Linked DNA regions of Nothobranchius furzeri. The protein of the gene in region 3 interacts with the protein of the main gene of each other region in a pairwise test. Links are inferred from orthologs where the notes say so. Each region holds a gene or a part of one and is shown on either strand. Other genes may lie near its edges. The genes, in order: mfap1, eaf1 and bend7.

Region 1 (3,688 bases), on a different chromosome or scaffold from region 3:
GGTCCAAAAAAACAGCAGGGATGCATGACATATCGGCATCAATATCTATGTTTTACATATCGGTATCGGTCTGATAAGGACAACTGGACCGATATTAACTGAATATATATAAAAAGAAAGACGTCCAAAATTTCTGCTTACATAACTTTAAGTCTCCATAAAATCTGCTGACTTCAGAAGCATAAATGTCAGCCTGTATATGTCGCATCGACAAATATCGATTATCAGCCATAACAATATCGACATCAGCCCAAAGTTTCATTTCGTTGCACCCCAAGACGAAAGGGTCTCACCTGCATGACTTTGGGTAGGATGGTTTTGTTGAAGTGATCCTCCAGTGTAGGAGCGCTGAAGTCTCTCTTGTAAACATCCTCCTCCTCATCCTAACACACAAAAACCACACAATAAATCCCTACACGTATAACCTGTTGGTGACCCATCACAAACGATCACCTCCTTCAGAATCTGGTGGGATTTCCTGTCATTTACAGACATCTAAATAATAAAGGTGTTATAAGAAAGGGTACGCCGTTTTTATCACACAATAATTGTCAAAGAAAAGACACTGCAGCTGTAAATGAAGATTTTAGGAAAATCTCTTGGTTGTCTTAAAAATTTGCTTTTTTATGAATCCTGGTGACAATCCCGTGAAAAGGACTCTTGTGTCTGCTGGGACTCACCATGAAGAAGGCTCCTCTGTGGTAGTATTTCTGCAAGAACTTGTATTTGCCTTTGGAGGCTTTGTTGGTGACGACTTTGCCGCTGTTGCGTAGCTCCGCCCTGCGTTCCTCTTCCGTCATATTGTGGAATCTGTCAATTTCACCCTTCTCTCTCTCCATTCTGACAACAAAACACCACAAATGACCGTCCTGAAGAGAACTGCATCACTCTTTCACCATAAATCCTTTGGAATCCTGCAGTTTACTTACGCTTCCCGGGCCTCTCGGTCTCTCTTGATGCGTTTCAGCTCTCGGACCTTCCAGGCTTCATATTCCTCCTCTTCATTCTCCCCGTCAGTGTCCAGAGCTTCCAGTGCAGCCAGCGAGCGCCGGTTCTCTTCAAACTCCTTCTTAGCCTCCTCCTCAACAATCTTGAGGGTGTAGCGCCGCCGATCCTCTGCCTGCCTCTTGGCCTCGGCCTCCAGCTCTCGCTGCTTCAGCTCCTCGGCTTCGCGCTCTGCCACAGTGACTCTGTCCTTTCTGCAGTGCAAAAAAAAAACATTTGAGCTAGTGTTCTGAATCTGGAATTTTTATTGAAACATTTTTAGTTTAGTTCTCACTTGCGAATAAAAACAGGCTTAAGTCTCGGCTCTGCTTCATCCTCACTGTCTGTGTACTCCTCATATTCTGACTCCGACTCAGACTCCTCTCCTGACTTCCCCTCCTCCTCCACCTCCATCACTTCCATCTCTTCATTTTTCCTCTCCATTGCACGCTGGCGCATCATTGCTCGCCTCCTCTCAATTTCCTGGTCACAAGCACGATGAGCAAATTAATAATTTGTTCAAAATGCAACAAAAAAGTTAAAAGGATTTTATTTTTTTGGTGCACAATTGCTACCTCATCATCCACTTCTTCCTCCTCTTCCTCCTCCTCCTCCTCTTCATCGTCGCTGCTCTCCTGATGCTCAGGGTGCCATGTGCCTTCATCAGAGTCCTCACTGCTCTCAGCAACAACTTCAGGCTCTACGATCTGTCTGTGTCTTGCGAGCCTGAGCACAAACAAACGGGAAACATTTTGACTCAAAATGTTGACAGAATTTGAGTTTAATCAGAAAAACTGAGTGATACCTCTCCTCCACGTCCTCAGAAGTTCGATTGAGCAAACGTTTGAGACGTGGGTCATTCACATCTTCTTCCTGCTGCTCTACCTCCAGCTCCATTTCCACTCCCTTTTTAGCAAACTTGAATTCCTCCTCCTCTTCATCTGACGACTCCATGGGGGCATAGTCTGGACGTTTACCTGACACATACCTCTTCACCTTCACCTTCTCCATGGAGATCTCACCTACATTGTGTACAGAAAAGGGCATGATTATATACACTTCCTCAAGCTTAGTACAAGAGTATTTAAACAGGAAAAAACACTCAACCATAAAAAACGTAAAACAATATGTTGCAGATTTATTTAAATTAAATCAGACAGATACAGCATACCCCTCGCCCTTGGGAGTAATAAAATGACCCCAAAACTCAGACGTAAGCTTAAAACAACGAGTTAATGTCTCAGACAAGCTCTTATTAGGTAGACAGATAAATGACGTTACAAAAGCCCATGAATACTTTTAAGGGACTTAACAGATGACTTATCTAACACGTAAAAAAGTTGAAAAGCTATTTAAAATATATTTTTTCCAGTTGTTTATAAACATTTGTGTTGGATCATCAAAGATCTTGAATCTTGTTTAAAAAAATGTAAACTGTCAGTTGTTCCTCCATTTCTAGATTTTAAACTGTTACTCCCACCACACACACACATTTTACTCTCTTAAAAAACCAACATCACAAAATTGCTTTTCAGCTTGTTTTGCTGAGTAATGAATTAGTTATTTAGAAACTTAACTCGCGTTTTTTGACGCTACATAACAGATGCTACATTAGCATGGAAGCTAACCCTAACACGATTCACCTTTCTCATTCCGGATGGGCACGGCTCCTGCCGTGGACTGGATCGGTGGGAGCTTCATGTTGACGCTTTCGTGACTAGACATGACTGCCCGGTCAACAACACAAAACTATGGACGTGAAATAAAAGGATGTTGCGCTTAGTCTCAACAATCTCTTGGCTGCTTCGTTTCAAAACCGGAAGTTGAACAACTTCCGCGAACGGACAGGAAGTGCATTTGTTCCGAAGAGAAAAACCAAAAACTCAAGAATCAAATGAACAGGAAAGCGTCTCACATTAAATTGTTTTTACAAAACTGACATTTATGCATTTTTATAAACGTGTTTTCTAAATGACCATCAAGCTAATTAAAATCGATTAAATTGTAAATTGTAAATCACCGCCCCTTGGTGGTTTTTATGTTTCATGCATGATAGGCCTTCAAGTCAAGCTTTTTTTCATTATGATCAGAAACCCGATTTCACCCTAACAAATATAACCAACATCAAACATTCCGTTTTTTTTTTACAAAAATGACAGGCAGCTTAACAAACTACATTTCTTCTGCTCCAGGCAAGTTCAATTTACTAGCACAATAAATAAGTGCACGCCCTGACCCTTAACAGAGTAATAGGATGGACTGAGGTTGGCTTGTAACTTTGGCATCATGGTTTATTTAAAAACAAAAGGCTAATCTGACTGACTTTCTAATAAGCAACTCTTCACTTATCTAAAAAAAAAACTTTGTGTCTGTGTGAAAATTATTTGAAAGGTTTGATGACAATGAACCAGACTTATAAAAGAAATGTCATATGTTTTTATTCTTTTAATTTTCTGTTCTGGTTTGCATGACTTTAAAAATTTGACAATAATACAAATGACAGTGCAGCAGACAGTACATTCACACTTCTTTCTTTTTTTTCTGAAGCTCACTCATAAAGGTGCATTTGAGTTGTCATTTTAACAGTATAGACGTGTGGCTTTGCCATCAGAGTTGAATGCCTCTCTGAACAAGTCCTCCAGCTTCCCCTCCAGGGCAGAGTTAGTTCCTTTCAGGCCTTTCACCACCTCAGAGGCCCAAACAA
Region 2 (3,754 bases), on a different chromosome or scaffold from region 3:
GTGGTCCAGTGTCTGTCTTTAAAGAAATTCGTGGTGTTTCTTTTATAAAACAAGTCCCAATTTTTCTGCGCTTCTTTCTCCAGCTTAATTTGTTTGAAATCAGATACCAGCGTCCGCTCACTGCTCAGTCTGTCCCGTTCCTCTGGAGTTAAATCTCTGACAGAGCAAAGTTTTGTTTCTCGTCCCCGTGACTCCACCTTTGTTTCGGGTTCCACTTCTTCAATGTCTTCAACTTTGCACTTTTCATTTGTCATTAACGCCATTGTTGTGTTAGATTGCCGTTCTCTCTGATAGTTTGTTTATAAAATAAAGCTTTATATAAGCTTCAATAGGAAGAAAAAGGAGGTAATATTTTTCCACACTTGGCATCCATCTTGTGCAGCATCGATGACACCGGTACCGGTTGGTGTTATTAAAAAAAATACCACGGTGGTCAACGCTTTAAAACACAAAATTTATACAAAATATAATATAAATTTTGACTGTACAATTTTATTGTTTAAATAAGTTACAAATATTTTTAACAGCTCTGAAATCACTTACACCCAGTCTGGTTTTCCGTCGGTGGTATTTGATGCTCGGACCAAAGGCAGTGTTACGCCGAGATATGTTTCCTCACAACAACAGTTTCTCCTCCTATTTTAAGCGAGTTTCCCCTTTAACTTTGTTGTTTAAACCAATTATCTGATAATAAAATAACTAAACTGAAAACTTTTGATAGTTTAATTAAAACATTAGTCATCACAGCATGGCAAAAACGTACGGAAAATATTACTTTTTAAAATTATTTAATCTGTGTTCGGTAAAAATAAATTCATACTTAAGTCAAATACTAATAACTGAATAATTGTTCAATGAGGTAAACATATTTATTTTCCAAGAATTCAGAACGGAAAACCCGCACACTGATATACGAGTAAACCGTTTTTCACTTAACACCGAAAAAGCTGCAGTCGCGTGACGTAAGTGTTGTTTTGCTAAAGGTTAGCATCTGCAAGCTAACTTTATCTTTATTTAGATTATCATCTCCGGTAGTTGCTGGATATAGCTCTGTTTTTCGGTTGTAACACAAATGTAAAATTTAATCCGGTTTCAACCAGACGAAGTCATGAACGGAAACACAAATCCACTGCTGGACAAAGAGGAACATGTTCTGAAGCTCGGAGAGAGCTTCGAGAAAAGGCCAAAATCATCTTTTCACACCATCAGATGTGAGTGTGAAAGAGACCACTTTGTGTTTCTAAAAGCTTTTAGTAAAGTCAGCTGTTGGTTGGAAGTAATTAGCTCACAGTGATACAGCTATTACATTCATTACGGTTACAGAAGTACACAATAAATGAGAAAATTTGATTTACATGTATGAACTGCAAAACACCGAACTGAAAGAAATTGCTGAACAGAAATGTGTTTATTATGTAAAAAATAGAAAGTTAAATTGTGGGGTTTAATGTTTTTTTTTTAAGTCCTTGGTTATTATCAATTATTAACTGATCATCATTCAACTTTTACTTAATTTTGCTTTGTTTATTTAAACATTTCCTAAGCCAAGTAGACAGTGTGACCAATAATTAATAAATGCACATTTCACCCAAATACCAGCAGCACATTATTTAAATATTTCCCGGTTTGTAAATTAATGTCATATTAGCAGAGTCAAGCAAAGTTATAATTTAAAACATATAAGGGTGATTAGCTAAGTTTGAATCTCTTTCATTTTTAGAAACTAAATAATTAATAATAATAAGGGATGCACCAATATGAATTTTTTGGGCCGGTACCGAGATTAGTATCACTGTTATGGCCGATAACCAATATTGGCCAATACCGTTTTATGCATCTGAAATCAGCAGATTTTGAATAGACTGAAATTATGCAAGTTGAATTTTGGAATGTTTTGCTTTATTTCTATGAAGTTGAATTTGCATTATGTTATACACACACACACACACACACACACACACACACACACACGTACGCTTCTGGTAAATGGTAAATGGCCTGTATTTGATATAGCGCCGTCTAGAGTCCTGGAACCCCCCAAGGTGCTTTACAACACAACCAGTCATTCACCCATTCACACACACATTCACACACTGGTGGGGATGAGCTACGATGTAGCCACAGCTGCTCTGGGGCGCACTGACAGAGGCGAGGCTGCTGAGCACTGGCGCCACCGGTCCTTCCGACCACCACCAGCAGATAACATGGGTCTTGCCCAAGGACACAACGACAGCAACAGACTGAGCGGGGCTCGAACCTGCAACCTTCCGATTACAGGGCGAGCACTTAACTCCTGTGCCACCGTCGCCAGATGATTACCATCACGGTCACATGTCTCAACAATTACACATCATAACTGCCCCTTACCCTCTGAAACATACACAAACGGAAATAAGATGGAAAAAATATCAGTTCTTAAAATCGGCCCAGTTTTAATTGTCGGACTGGTATGTTAAAAATGTACTAACATCGGCCAATACTCGATATTGATGCAGATATATCATACATCTCTAATAATTATATAATTTACTTCTTTTTCTATTTATTTAAGTTTTTCTAAGCAGTGAAAGGACTTGATTCATGCCTAATTTATTTATTTATTCTTAGATGACTTCAAACCAGCATCGATCGACACGAGCTGTGAGGGAGAGCTACAAGTTGGGAAAGGAGATGAAGTTACCATAACACTACCTCATATTCCAGTAAGGTTGCAGAGACGTAAACAACAAAGCACCATTCTCACATTTGTGTCAGCTGGCTCACAGTTATGGTTATTCAACATTATTAATGTTATTAAGTGTCAATCAAGTGCTTTCCCTCTGCTAACAAAGTCAGATAGCAGCTTAGGTTGAGTAATCATAGTTGATTATGTTTAAATGTAGTTTCAGTTTCATCTAGTTACATCAGGAACCAATAAAATAAACAAGTAAAAGCCCCTTTGTATGATTTTATTAAGAAAAATCAAAGGATCAAGTAAAGTTACATACTCTTCCAGGGCTCCACGCCTCCAATGACGGTATTTAAAGGAAACAAGCGGTTGTATCAGAAGGATTGTGTGCTCATCATTAACCACGACACGGGGGAATTTGTCCTGGAGAAGCTCAGCAGCAGCATCCAGGTCAAGAAAACAAGGTGGGAGAATTGTATATTACTTTTTCACACTTGATAAATCATTCATTCTAAAGTGGGGAGCAGAAAGGAGCAACAGTTGGTGAGTCTGCCGTGTTTATTTTTTATAGGGCGGAGGGCAGCAGTAAGATCCAGGCCCGAATCGAGCAGCAGTCCGTCCGTTCCTCCCAGACAAGCTCTCAGTTCCGAGCCCCGACCAAACCAGGGGCCGGGAACAAAACCTCACCCTCCCACACGAAGGACAACCCGTCCCCAGAGCCTCAGCTGGATGACATCAAACGAGGTGAGAAGGTTCTGTCACAAGATGGAACTGGTGTGTCTCAAACTGATTCTAGCTAAAATATCAGCTGGATATTGTAACTGGTGTGAAATGAACCCAGAACCAATAATGTCTCTGACCTGCTGCCGCTGGCAGAGCTGCGGGCGGAGGTGGAGGTGATCGAGCAGATGAGCAGCAGCGGCAGCAGCTCGTCCGATTCAGCCAGCGGCTCGGGGAGCGGCGACGACAGCAGCAGTAGCGATGGTGAGCACGACGCCCCCCCGCAACCGCTCAGCCAGACCTCCCCCAGCTGCACCCCCATCACCAACGGCGGAGGAGACCGGCAGCAGGGCAACAACCAGCTCA
Region 3 (3,754 bases):
AGCCACAGACTGAACCCTAATCAACACCACTGAGCGTGTTACCTCTAACACTTGATGCTCCTTTGGTTGGTTCAGGGGAGGATCGTGTGTGTTGCTGACCTGAGGTGGCTGCGCAGACACATTACAGGAAATCAAACCAATGTTGAGTGCTGATGAGTCTAGTTTCTCACAATCCTCCCTCCTCATGGACTCAGAAGTAACTGGTTTAAGCACTGAGGAAGATGTGGGTGCCCTTCTGGTGCTGTACACACTGAGTGGAGCCACCTTATAGATCGGCCTTCTCTTTTGGGGTGTACGCCGAGGAGAGGAACCTGGACCAAGGGAAGGTTGGCATGGTGATCCTGCCTGTTCTTTCTTTTCAAATGGTGCTATGGAGGAAAAAAAATCACAAGAATAAAAGATTTCCTTTAGGTTGTCCATATATTTTGTATAAGATTCCTCCTTTCTGACCTTTTTGAGTTTGCATCAGCCTCCTCATTGCTCTCAGTTCCTGGAGTATAGCCTCTAAGGTGTCTTTACAGTTACACATGCAGCAGGGGATTTCAGGCACAGCAGGAGGGAGCACTTCTCCTGCAAAGTCAGTGTTGATTTGTTTAGTCACTGTCAGCTTTAACATGTCCAATGTGCTTTCATGCTGACGTTGACCAAAAACTTAAGAGGAAATTGAAGTTTTTGCAAACATTTTAAAATATAATGACCTGAGATTCAAAGATTCCCTACCGTTTGTATTACTGGGTTTGACTGAGTCCTTTAAGCTGCTGAGGCTCCTGGAGCTTTTGGACAGGGTGCTATGACCACAGGCTTGACCGTTTAGAGTGGGGCTCGCTATGGATGAAGATGCTGGCTCAGGGTCCCCCTCAGAGCTCCAGCTGCGGTGACGATGTGATGCAGGAGATGGAATTTGTGTCTGGTGCAGGCTGTTCAGATCTTTATCCTGGGGCTCCTGAGGCAAGCTGTTTGACTCACTTCCAACCTGTTGATATGCCCTCCCAGTCTTATCACTCAGAAGTCTCATCATACCCGTGATTTGCCTCTTGATCCCCATGCTCTCATCAAGCCAAACTGCATTTAACAGAAGGTGGTTAGAGCATCATTTTGCAGTCATGCAATATATAAAAAAATAATCAGAATACCACCAGGTACAGCTGCATCATTAGCTCCCTCGTTGCCATTCTTGCAACTTGCAACATATGAAGGGTCACAATCTGCACATAAAATTGTTTTTTTAATAACAAAATAAGAAAAAATTGCAGCAAAACTTGTGATGCAAAGTGTCTGCAGACTGGTGTGCTCTGATGTAAACCAGCCCCCCTCCCATCCATGCACAAACCACCACCTGTAGGTATGAAGTAGTTTAGAGAAAGGTATTTAGTAGCAAAAAATAATATATAAAAAGCTTCGAGTCGCATGACATAAATGCGCAACAGATGTGTACGTTTTTGATTAATTATTCTTCTTTTTGAAAAATTTAAACGCCTGGACCATGTGAGGAGAATTTCTGTTTCGTTTTCTTGTTTGAAAGGTTGGCTCTTGGGGATTTATTTATAGAAAATCGATGCACAGACTGGGTATTGTCGTGGCCATCGCTTTTGTCTCTGCTGCTGGCACACGGCGCCAGACAAACACCCAGACACATGAGCGCGTCTTGTTAAGGTCTCGCTTTCATTCAGCAGCATTACCTTCATCCGTGACCAGTTTAAAGCTCTGGGATTTCCTTCTCCGCTTCCGTTCTCCAAACTCCATCCTCAACGGGAATATCCAGCAAGTCGTGCCGTCGGATTTCGCTCCAAGACAAAATCTGTATTTTTTTTTATTTTTTCACTCAGCACAATCACTGTCCGTCTGCTTCATTAATCAGTTAGAAAATTCGCCTATTCTTGTCATCGGAAGATTTCCCAACGTTTGGGTGTAAAATTCTCCAGGAATAAAAAATTGTGGACATGCATCCCCTCTCCCAGCATGACGGCGGTCCTTCCCTTTCGCCATGTAAATACATTAATGACTTTATTATTAAGAATTCGTCACATATCCCTTTGCGCCACCTGATGGTATCCTTTAAAAGGTCGAGCACAAGGCTTTTGCCACTGGACAACAAACTGAAATCTAAGCAAAAGCAGTCAGGTTGAAGGAGCTACAGAACTTTTTAAAAGGCTTTTTGAATTAAACTGGATCTAAAACGCTGCTCACAACAGAATTTACTTGTTTAACAGCATAAACATGATGTGACAGAAAATATCTAATGTGGCATAAAAAGGTCAAACTCTATTGAGTATTACAGGAATCCAGTGTTGTCTGTCAAAGTTTGGAATACCTAGATATTTACATTTACTTTCCAACCATTTTTCCTCTAAATGTTCTCCAATTAAGTCTTTTTTCATGCCACTACTGTTGTCTTTCTTTGAGATGTGTCTAATTTGAAACACTTTTGGAGGCTTTTATGTAATTTCGTCTCCTTTTGTTATTTTTAAGCGTTTCAATTTTTTTCAGAAACACACACACACACACACAATGTACAACTGCATCTATACATAAATAATATAAATAGATGCAGCTGTACATTTTCATTTAATTTTACTGTGTTATCTTAAGAAAATTCAAATAGGTTTATATATAATTTATAAATTTGAGAAAATCTGATACAACTAGTGTAGCTTTATACTTTTCAAATTTTAAAGTTTTTAGTGTAAATGAAATCTTCTTAACATAGCCATATAGGTTCATACCAGGTTCATTCTAGAATAAAACTGTTCATTCCAGAAGTGTCGCATTTGGGAGTTAGTCTTTTATTTTGAAAAAAGGAAATGAACTTTTTAAGGCTCTTATGTTGAATTTTTTGTTTCCGTTTTTAAGCCCTGGACGTCAACCTTTTTCTACATTTGATGTCAACACTCTTCAGCTATCCGCAAAAGAAGACATTTTCATAATATTCTTCTGAAATGGATATACTTAAAGCTGAAATAGCAAGAAAGAGAAAACTTCTAGAGGAAAAAGAGCTCATTGATGTGAGTATTTTGTGGTTTTTAATCTGCTTTTGTTAGCCTAACATTTAGCTTTGTTAGCTAGCGTTGAGTTAGCTGGAAGTTTGAAGTCAACACTTTCCATGATTATTGCTTTTCTTACTCTCGTCGGTGCTCTTATGAACTCTGCACACGTGGAAAATAACGTTACATGTATAAATTTAAATGTGTCAGTAAGATCTTTACGTTGAACGTAAAAAGCGGATCTTGAAACGTGCTTCAGTCATTTTTGTGTAACGCGTCTTACTACCTTGTTGCTTTGAATTTCAAATTAATTGTGTGTTGTGTTTCTAAACTAAACGAATTATTTAGCTTGTTCTCTGTCAATTGTGATTTTTTTTAAATCGGGTGGGTTATTGCACATTGTTTCTTGGATAAGAAAGAGAGCAAACGTTAGCATGTAGCTTCTTGTTGGGGAGTTCCTGTGTTATTATGTTCCTTTAACTGCCCTACAGGTTGAATTTTCAATAGGATTAAACATATCAATCAACTTTTTCTCAACAGGACTCCAAAAAATTCTTCAAAAGAGCTGATCTGGCTCGCAAGGAAAAAGAAGAGTACTTCAAACGCTGTGGATTAAAGGTTAATGTCAAGATCAGTTTGCATTACTTTCTCGAACACGCTCCATTACATCTAAATAACTGTATTCCTATTATTTTTTTCTTTAGGTCATTGTCAATTTAGGAATTTTCCTAAGACTAGTTGTTAAAGATCCCTTTCAGCACAACAATTGAATG

What was found.
Region 1: the proteins of bend7 (region 3) and mfap1 interact in binary tests that used the Homo sapiens proteins (3 or more experiments, as listed by UniProt). The two-hybrid records come from large-scale screens. The link is inferred for Nothobranchius furzeri from reciprocal best matches to the Homo sapiens genes BEND7 and MFAP1.
Region 2: the proteins of bend7 (region 3) and eaf1 interact in binary tests that used the Homo sapiens proteins (3 or more experiments, as listed by UniProt). The two-hybrid records come from large-scale screens. The link is inferred for Nothobranchius furzeri from reciprocal best matches to the Homo sapiens genes BEND7 and EAF1.

What each region holds. Positions count from the first base shown.
Region 1 is NC_091749.1:30,004,613-30,008,300, reverse strand, and holds the start of mfap1 (microfibrillar-associated protein 1), read right to left. Parts: upstream 2,825-3,688; 5' UTR 2,710-2,824; coding exon 2,628-2,709; intron 2,007-2,627; coding exon 1,790-2,006; intron 1,711-1,789; coding exon 1,560-1,710; intron 1,468-1,559; coding exon 1,280-1,467; intron 1,200-1,279; coding exon 930-1,199; intron 841-929; coding exon 681-840; intron 384-680; coding exon 294-383; intron 1-293. Other genes in the region: hddc3 (guanosine-3',5'-bis(diphosphate) 3'-pyrophosphohydrolase MESH1), read right to left, coding at 3,564-3,688. UniProt on the Homo sapiens protein: Involved in pre-mRNA splicing as a component of the spliceosome.
Region 2 is NC_091745.1:66,979,417-66,983,170, reverse strand, and holds the start of eaf1 (ELL-associated factor 1), read left to right. Parts: upstream 1-919; 5' UTR 920-1,108; coding exon 1,109-1,211; intron 1,212-2,607; coding exon 2,608-2,702; intron 2,703-2,995; coding exon 2,996-3,132; intron 3,133-3,239; coding exon 3,240-3,412; intron 3,413-3,544; coding exon 3,545-3,754. Other genes in the region: tRNA N(3)-methylcytidine methyltransferase METTL6, read right to left, coding at 1-263. UniProt on the Homo sapiens protein: Acts as a transcriptional transactivator of ELL and ELL2 elongation activities.
Region 3 is NC_091744.1:72,601,027-72,604,780, forward strand, and holds the start of bend7 (BEN domain-containing protein 7), read right to left. Parts: upstream 2,502-3,754; 5' UTR 1,744-2,501; coding exon 1,680-1,743; intron 1,206-1,679; coding exon 1,137-1,205; intron 1,063-1,136; coding exon 721-1,062; intron 571-720; coding exon 451-570; intron 369-450; coding exon 43-368; intron 1-42. Other genes in the region: prpf18 (pre-mRNA-splicing factor 18), read left to right, coding at 2,937-3,002, 3,522-3,599.